2 linked regions of the Lytechinus pictus genome follow. The protein of the gene in region 1 interacts with the protein of each later gene in a biochemical or structural test. Links are inferred from orthologs where the notes say so. Each region holds a gene or a part of one and is shown in the gene's direction. Other genes may lie near its edges.

Evidence for each region.
Region 2: the proteins of metal-response element-binding transcription factor 2-like (region 1) and histone-lysine N-methyltransferase EZH2-like form a complex in vitro, tested with the Drosophila melanogaster proteins (2 studies listed by BioGRID). The link is inferred for Lytechinus pictus from reciprocal best matches to the Drosophila melanogaster genes Pcl and E(z).

What each region holds. Positions count from the first base shown.
Region 1 is NC_087259.1:16,248,359-16,252,321, reverse strand, and holds the start of metal-response element-binding transcription factor 2-like, read left to right. Parts: upstream 1-1,577; 5' UTR 1,578-1,840; coding exon 1,841-1,954; intron 1,955-3,963. UniProt on the Drosophila melanogaster protein: Polycomb group (PcG) protein.
Region 2 is NC_087245.1:20,681,103-20,684,702, forward strand, and holds the start of histone-lysine N-methyltransferase EZH2-like, read left to right. Parts: upstream 1-1,459; 5' UTR 1,460-1,553; intron 1,554-3,600. UniProt on the Drosophila melanogaster protein: Polycomb group (PcG) protein. Catalytic subunit of the Esc/E(z) complex, which methylates 'Lys-9' and 'Lys-27' of histone H3, leading to transcriptional repression of the affected target gene.

The sequences.
Region 1 (3,963 bases):
GGTTGCATATCGTATCATGCATTTAAAGGGATGGTCCGGGCTGAAACTATTTACATCTAAATGAATAGAGTAAAATTCACAGAGCAAAATGCTGAAAATTCCATCAAAATCGGAAAACAAATAACGAAGTTATTGAATTTTAAGTTTATCAATATATTGTGAAAACAGTTATAAGCACATCGTCATGAACATTCATTAGGTGGGCTGATGATGTCACATCTCCACTTTCCTTTTTCTTATGTTATTACATGAAATCATACATGATTCATTTTTTCATACATGTGTATAAATGATGTGTCTCCGTATGATGAAATAAGTTGCGGCAATAAATAACTAATGCACTCAATCAGTTGTCAATTCAATTGTTCAGTTCTTGGTAGAAAAATATTGAATAATTCTAATTTCCTATAATAAAATACAAAAGAACAAGTGGGGATATGACATCATCAGCCCACCTAATATTCATAAAGACATGCCTCGAACTGTTTCACCGGAATAATGCATATCTTTAAAATTCAATGACTTTTTTATCCGATTTTGATCAAATTTTCAGCATTTTGCTTTTTGAATTTTACTCTATTTTTTAGATATAAATATATCCAGCCTGGACCATCCCTTTAAACATACATCCCATCTCCCCCTTTCAGGAAAAAAATATTTATAGCTATATGGTGACTAAGTCCATGTGGCTAGCCACACTGACTGAATGAGGCTTAGTAATCAGCTTTTAACTCAACATTCTTATTTTTCCATCGTACATTATTGATCCCACTGCTGCCACCAGTTTGCGATATGAGGGGGCCTATTAAAGAGCTAGTGCAAATATCAGGTTCACCTGTGGGCCGGGTGATAATCTGCCTGTATATGGTGATGATGCCAGGGGTGATGCACTTCAAACATTTTGACCTCATGGTTTTTGTATTTGTTAAACATAATATGGCCTGATAAAATAATGTAAGATAATGATCAATAGAAACATTCAATAATCTCCACCAGGACATGATCCGGCCAACCTAAAGAGGAGAAGGAATTTGGAACTGAATACATATAATGACTTCGTTCAGTATACTCCCTAATAGTATATCCCTAAGTAAAACGGTAAAAACAATATCTTTTCAGATCAAGATCGATGGGTCGAGTCATCTGCCTCGGCTGCCCCATATATCATTTATTATGCCCTCCATTTCTGCCCCTTTATTTGAAACAAAATAAAGTTCGATCTGCGCTTCCACTTTTTGGGTAGACCTGAATATTCAGAGGAAGCCATGGATCGAAGCTGAGCTCCCTGAGCTTTACAAAACACTTTTTTTTTTGGGGGGGGGGGATAGAGGGAGAGAGTCAGCTAGGAATTGCCCGGGAATTGCTGATCTTCGGGATGCAAATCTAAAATCATTTCCCCATAAGTAGCCTAGCTACCGGGCCTAGCTACTATATAGGCCTATATGTTTGTCCGGATGTTTGTTAATTCTTTCTTTTATTTTCAAAGAAATGCTGGACCCCGGTGCTGGACCTTGGGCCCTGGACCATACTAGTTCGGTAGTTCCTCGAAAAGATGAAACAGTAGCCTACATAAAGATAGACCTGGATACTTGACTGCTGGAACAACGCTGTATATTTTCAGATGCGGTATAAAGACAAAGGTATAAAGAAAGAAAAAAAAAATAGAGAGGAATACCGGAAGTAGTAGTCACCTCGCATCATCATTCATCATGGGTTTTCGCGGGAAACTATACTCGTGCAATATTCACACACATTTTGTACACAAAATATAAATGGAGCAAACGGATTGCTACATGTAGCTAGGCATGCGACTCTTGCGATGAGTTGTCCAGTGGCATGAATGAGTCAGAATGTCGTCACATTTCAGCTGAGTAGGTCTAATTTGCCAAAAGTACATCCAAATCGATGTGGAACACTGCAGCTGAAGCATAACTCTGAAGTGAAGGAGCATTTCGTAAGTTTGGACTTCATTGACAAACCTTTTCTAAGTTTACGCCTGCGGGTAGTCCCACGTGTGTAAATTTGTGCTGTGACAAAATCAGTATAAATAATTAATACCAGTCAGAAATTCGAAAATTTTGGGATGGTTGAGGCATATAAAGAACTATCATTCACTTTAACGAGGATCTAATAAGTCAAAGGAAATGGTTGGCAGCCAAATGGTTAATGGTTTTCTTTTTTTGCCACATCATCATAATCATCAGTAGGCCTACCTCGAGTGAAGTTCGTGCAGGCTCCACTCCACTTCACTACCGCTACACTACGGCTACGCTCCACCAACCCGAACGTCGAGACCATGAACTCGATCGGATATTCCGAGTGACAAAAGGTGGGATTTTATGGGGAGAAAATACAAAATTCATGCAACATCACGATCTTTAAGTTTAAAAACAAGTAAAACTAATATTCTTACTTTACACAAAGTTTCACTTCTTTTCCATGCTTCTAAGTTCTATCAGTCTCAAAATTTATGATTTAGAGCCAACATGAAGTTCCTCACACGTAATAATTCGCTGCCGATTTCAGAACATCGCATGCGCGCGAGGGTCCGAGCTCGGACCAGACCCGGTACCTCCCGCATGCGATGTTTTGAAGTCGGCAGCGCATTAATATTTATACGTGTGAGGAACTTCATGTAGGGTGTCTGAAGCCACACTGAAAAGTGTCAGCATAAAACAGGCTGATTTAGGGGGAAATATGGCACATTTTTTTCAGGGAAGTTCAGGCTACTAGAAAAATGTGATCTGAATTGATTATTAACTTGTGTTTGGGATGTATGGAAAGAGAAAATTCAGGGGCTTCTTTTGACAGTAAGGACAAGTTTATATGATCATTTTGAATAAGGATTTAGAGATAAATTGCAAACCCTTATTTTTGTGTGTGTTGAGATTGCCATTTCTCCATGCGTTTTCTATGGGAAAATGAAATTTCTGTTTTGCACAATTTTTTTCACTTTGTCGCAATTTTTCATTGTGATCTGGTTTCCAAATCTTTATAAAAATCATACCATCAGATAGAGCATAAAAAATCCTATTGGACTCTTTATGGACAAGTTTTTGGCATTAGTAATGAATTTATAACAGCTCTCGGAAGCTAGAAATTTGGATTTGTGTGTGTCCATTTCTTAACTACACAGTCTATGGCAGAGAAATGCTGAAAATTGACCTAATTTCATTCTTCTTTTTTGCAGCCAATAATTGGAATTTTTTCAAAAAATTTACATTTCTGTCAGTCTGAAGGTCATTTCTCTTCAAATTCACAAAGAAAATGTGATATTTTCTTGAAATAAGAAAAATAATTTTTTTTCTCCAGACACCCTACTTCATGTTGGCTCTAAATCATCAATTTTGAGACTGATAGAAGCATGGAAAAGAAGTGAAACTTAGTGTAAAGTAAGAATATTAGTTGCACTTGTTTTTAAAGATCGTGATGTTGCATGAATTTTGTATTTTCTCCCCATAAAATCCCACCTTTTGTCACTTGGAATATCCGATCGAGTTCATGGTCTCGAAGTTCGGGTAGGTGAAGCGTAGTGTAGCGGTAGTGAAGTGGAGTGGAGCCTGCACGAACTTCGCTCGAGGTACATCATCAGTAGAGCCTAGAGGCGCACGGCCAATATGGGAGACTCTCTCTAATAGGGGAGACAATCTCCCACATTGGAGACAGTCTCCAATATTGGCCGTGCGCCTCTACTGATCATGTTGTGACGAAAACTTCACATTGATTGACATTGACTTTGTCATTGAATCTGACTTTCGATAGTTTCATGACTTGGAAGTTTGGGGCTAATGTCTAATGACGAACGTTAACTCAAGTTTTATTGCCTGGCTGCAGTTTCGCACCGGTAGCCACTCATACTACGAACGAGGTTATAATATAACCTCGTTCTCGGCTGTATGCCTTCCAATTGTAAAAATATACATTGCTCATTTTCCCTCCATCCGTTTTTTTTATTATTTTTAT
Region 2 (3,600 bases), on another chromosome or scaffold:
GGGGAAAGATGTGCCAACTGGCCCCGCAACTAGCAATACTCCGAGATTATACCTCCTCGAACTCATTCATGACAATGCTGCGATATTCTGTAATAAATGTACAGATATTCATACTTTAGGAAATTGGCAAAGCCGATCTCCTAATATAAATATAAAAGTTAGGTCCTACCTTAATTCTTGCTCGCCAGAAGATAGAATGTGGTCCAGCCGCTCAGAATCTCAGATAAATTGCACAAATCCGTGAATAGAAATATATACACTTCACAATTTCAAATACAGTAGATAAAGGGACAGATGTCACAAAATGTCTCGCGAAGTAATGAGCTCATTAAATATGCAGAGAATATAGACTTCGAATGAGTGGAAGTGACGGTAAGGAATAAGATTGGAAAATGCAGAGAAATAATTAAGTATAAGTTGATCCTCCACAAGATTTGATTCGATCCTCACTAGCAGCTGGATGAGATGGTCAGCATGAGTGGACAGGACGAAGGCAGAGAGTAGAGTGATGATGTGGTAGAGAAAACAAGTTGTTTTTACCAACATCAGAAAAGATGAGACAAAGAAATAAGCGCCAAAAAGGGAGGCAAAACAAAGTTGAAAAGAACAAAGAAGAGAGAAGCAGACTGTGAGAAAAGCAAACATGCAAGCATCTCTGTAGTGATGTTGGTTATACCTGCAAGTTCATTGCAATAAACAAGGAACAATGAAAGGATGTTTGCTCCAAGTCTAGGAACAAAAGAAAGGTTGTTTCTCAATATAAGAATGTGTTTGCCAAGTAGATTTGGACAGAAAATGAGTTGGCTTGCTCTGTGAATGTACAGTATTGTAGTACATACACATGGCGTGAACAAGTGAGAATATATGAAATTGGAAATAAAAGAAAGAATTTATATACATATACAGAATGTTGAAATATAAATGAAAATATATACAAGGAAAGAATATATAGATGTAGATATATAAAAAGATATAGTCAAGTCACTACAATACCATAGAAAAATGAAGAGGAGCAGCATGGGAGGCAGTTAATTAGAGCCAGTTTTTAACAGAAGTTTGGCCAAAAGTACACTCTGCCACAATTTCCGGCACCGTAAAAGGAGAAATTAAAAAAGATGCGTGTCACCGCCAAAAAGGAGTATATTGTGAGTGGAGGAGGAACACCCGGAGGAACACCCCAAAAATGGGGGTGGGCCTCCTCCACATCTGAGCGAATCCACAAAAATGATTCAGGAATCAGAAGATTGTGCCTACAGACTTCATACAAATAGTTAACCCATATGATGACGATTACGGATTCTACAATCAAGCAATAAGTGCTTTGGATTTCTTGGCAAGAGGAAGCTTGATTGGCATGTAATGAACCATTGGGTGGGCAAATACATCCTCCAGACATGCACAGTAGGCCTACAGTCCAAGCCCACCTCCTCCATGTCCATTGCATTGTGCTCTAGCGCCATCTCTTGTTGATTGCTTGCAGCAGCATCCGAGATCCCGCGTTGATCTGATTCTGAGTTTTCTTTTGTGGAAATTCAATCTATACTTGACGTTTGGTGAGTAGAGGATACATGTAGGTCTAGATATTGAGTTCTCATGAACCTTGCGTGGTCAGGTTATATAGATTCTGTATTATTTGCTCTGCAATAATCTTGATAATTATAAGAAGCGCTACATATTCACAATTCAGATTTTAATATTTCAGTCCCACTGCTATGTTTTTGTGTTGTGTGTGCTCCGACCTTAGCGGAGGAAGAACACAAGAGAGAGAGAGAGAGAGCTGCTGTCTTGAATTCATCAGTTCATTCACCTGCATCTGAGTCTGGAATTTCAAACCTTGAGAGACTTGAGTTGCAGTAAAAGCAGAGTAAAATGATGAGCTTACTATATTAGTGACTGTTTGCAGCGCGACTTCGTTAAAAAAAGCGAGCGCACGCGTGTAAGTACATAATTAATGGCACGCATTTCCAATTTAAATTAATCAGCCGAGATGCCCGATATTTGGGAAAGTGCCATATTTGGAAGGGTGCTGGGTGTCAAATTTCCCACCGTGGGGAAACCATGCGGCAGCCATTGCAGATTTTTTTTCCCGATAGATTGAACATGTGCGATATCGGCGGCCACTCCTAGTACCAGTGAGGTCCAAACATTAACATGTATGGACCTCATAGGCGACAATGCTTTAAAAACAGGTTAGAAGTCCTGCACCCAAGTATTTTTATGATATTAGTGATTATTACTCGAAAAATGCAAGCTTTGTCCTCATTTGTTTAGCATTTATTAAAAAATTACCCATTAACTATAATCCTACTCATACTTTAAATGTTATAAAATAAAGGGAAACTTACATTTAGGTCCTTTTTCGATCTTTTCTTGGCAGTCAGTCCGGTCCCGTCGAGTGCGATCAAAGCGGTACGAAGCTGATTTTCAGATCACGTGATACGAGTAGTCATCTTCTTCTTCTTCTTCTTCTTTCCTTGGTTGGCAACCAGTTAACCAAGGAAAGAAGAAGAAGAAGAAGAAGATGACTACTGATCACCTGATCGATCGACTATCCTTTTTTAAAGACCGCAACAATTATAAATTTTATTATAAAATATATATAGAATAAATAATTGCATGATATTATATATATTTCTACAATTAAAAATATTTTGTGATATGAATTTAATATTTGACGTAAAAATCGCTATTTAGCAAAATATTTATTAAAAAATAAAAACGCCTTGGACACAGTGCAAAAAACCTAACAATTTGGCCGCGTTCTTAACAACTATTGTAAGGGGCGCTCTATTTATAAATAAAAAAGAATGTACAGCTGTCTACCGCAACGTGGTTTGTCGCAAGATTTGGGACAAATCCGTGGGAATTCTTGAGAAAATACATCAAAAGAACTGGTGAGTACCGATTAAACATTATCAAAGTAGTAAATAGGTTATACATAACTTGTAGATATATATTTTAAATTGATATTGATGCTTAGTTCCAAGCTAGGGCGGCCCAAATGTGCGTGAGTGGAGTCCCAGTTTATTAACACGGGTAAGTATTGGGGTGTCGCCTAGAGTGATCGGCGGCAACATTTCCTGCGAAAATCACTGCCCCCTTTTGAGATTTTTTTTTTGGTCATCGATCTTAAGTTAAGGAGTCCAAAATTAGTGAGGGTCATAAGAATCTTTGAAAGTCAAAATCGTGGATTTTAGTTTTTACCCCTGGATGTAACCCTAGGAATAAATTTTTTGAGCAGTAACCTGGGTCTCGTGTGTGCAGTTTAATAGATCAGAGGGTAAGTTCATGTATCACATGCACGCAATAAATCCCTTCGAAAATGTACATGTACTTGTAGATTATTATTGCTGATGATAGCACTACTTTGAAAGTCATTTATAGCAACAGCAAATTGAAGAAAAAATAGAAAAATTATATGAGCCTTGAACGAAACCAGCAGTACAAGCCTTTGTTCATTTGAACAAATGGTATACCAAAGTCTGTACAATGAAAAGACTGGACACTTTGCGTAACGCTTTGCATCGATTTGCATGTAAAATAGTTTAAGTGCCTAGTCTTTCCCTCGTAGTGTCTTCGATATGAATATCGCCCACTCTC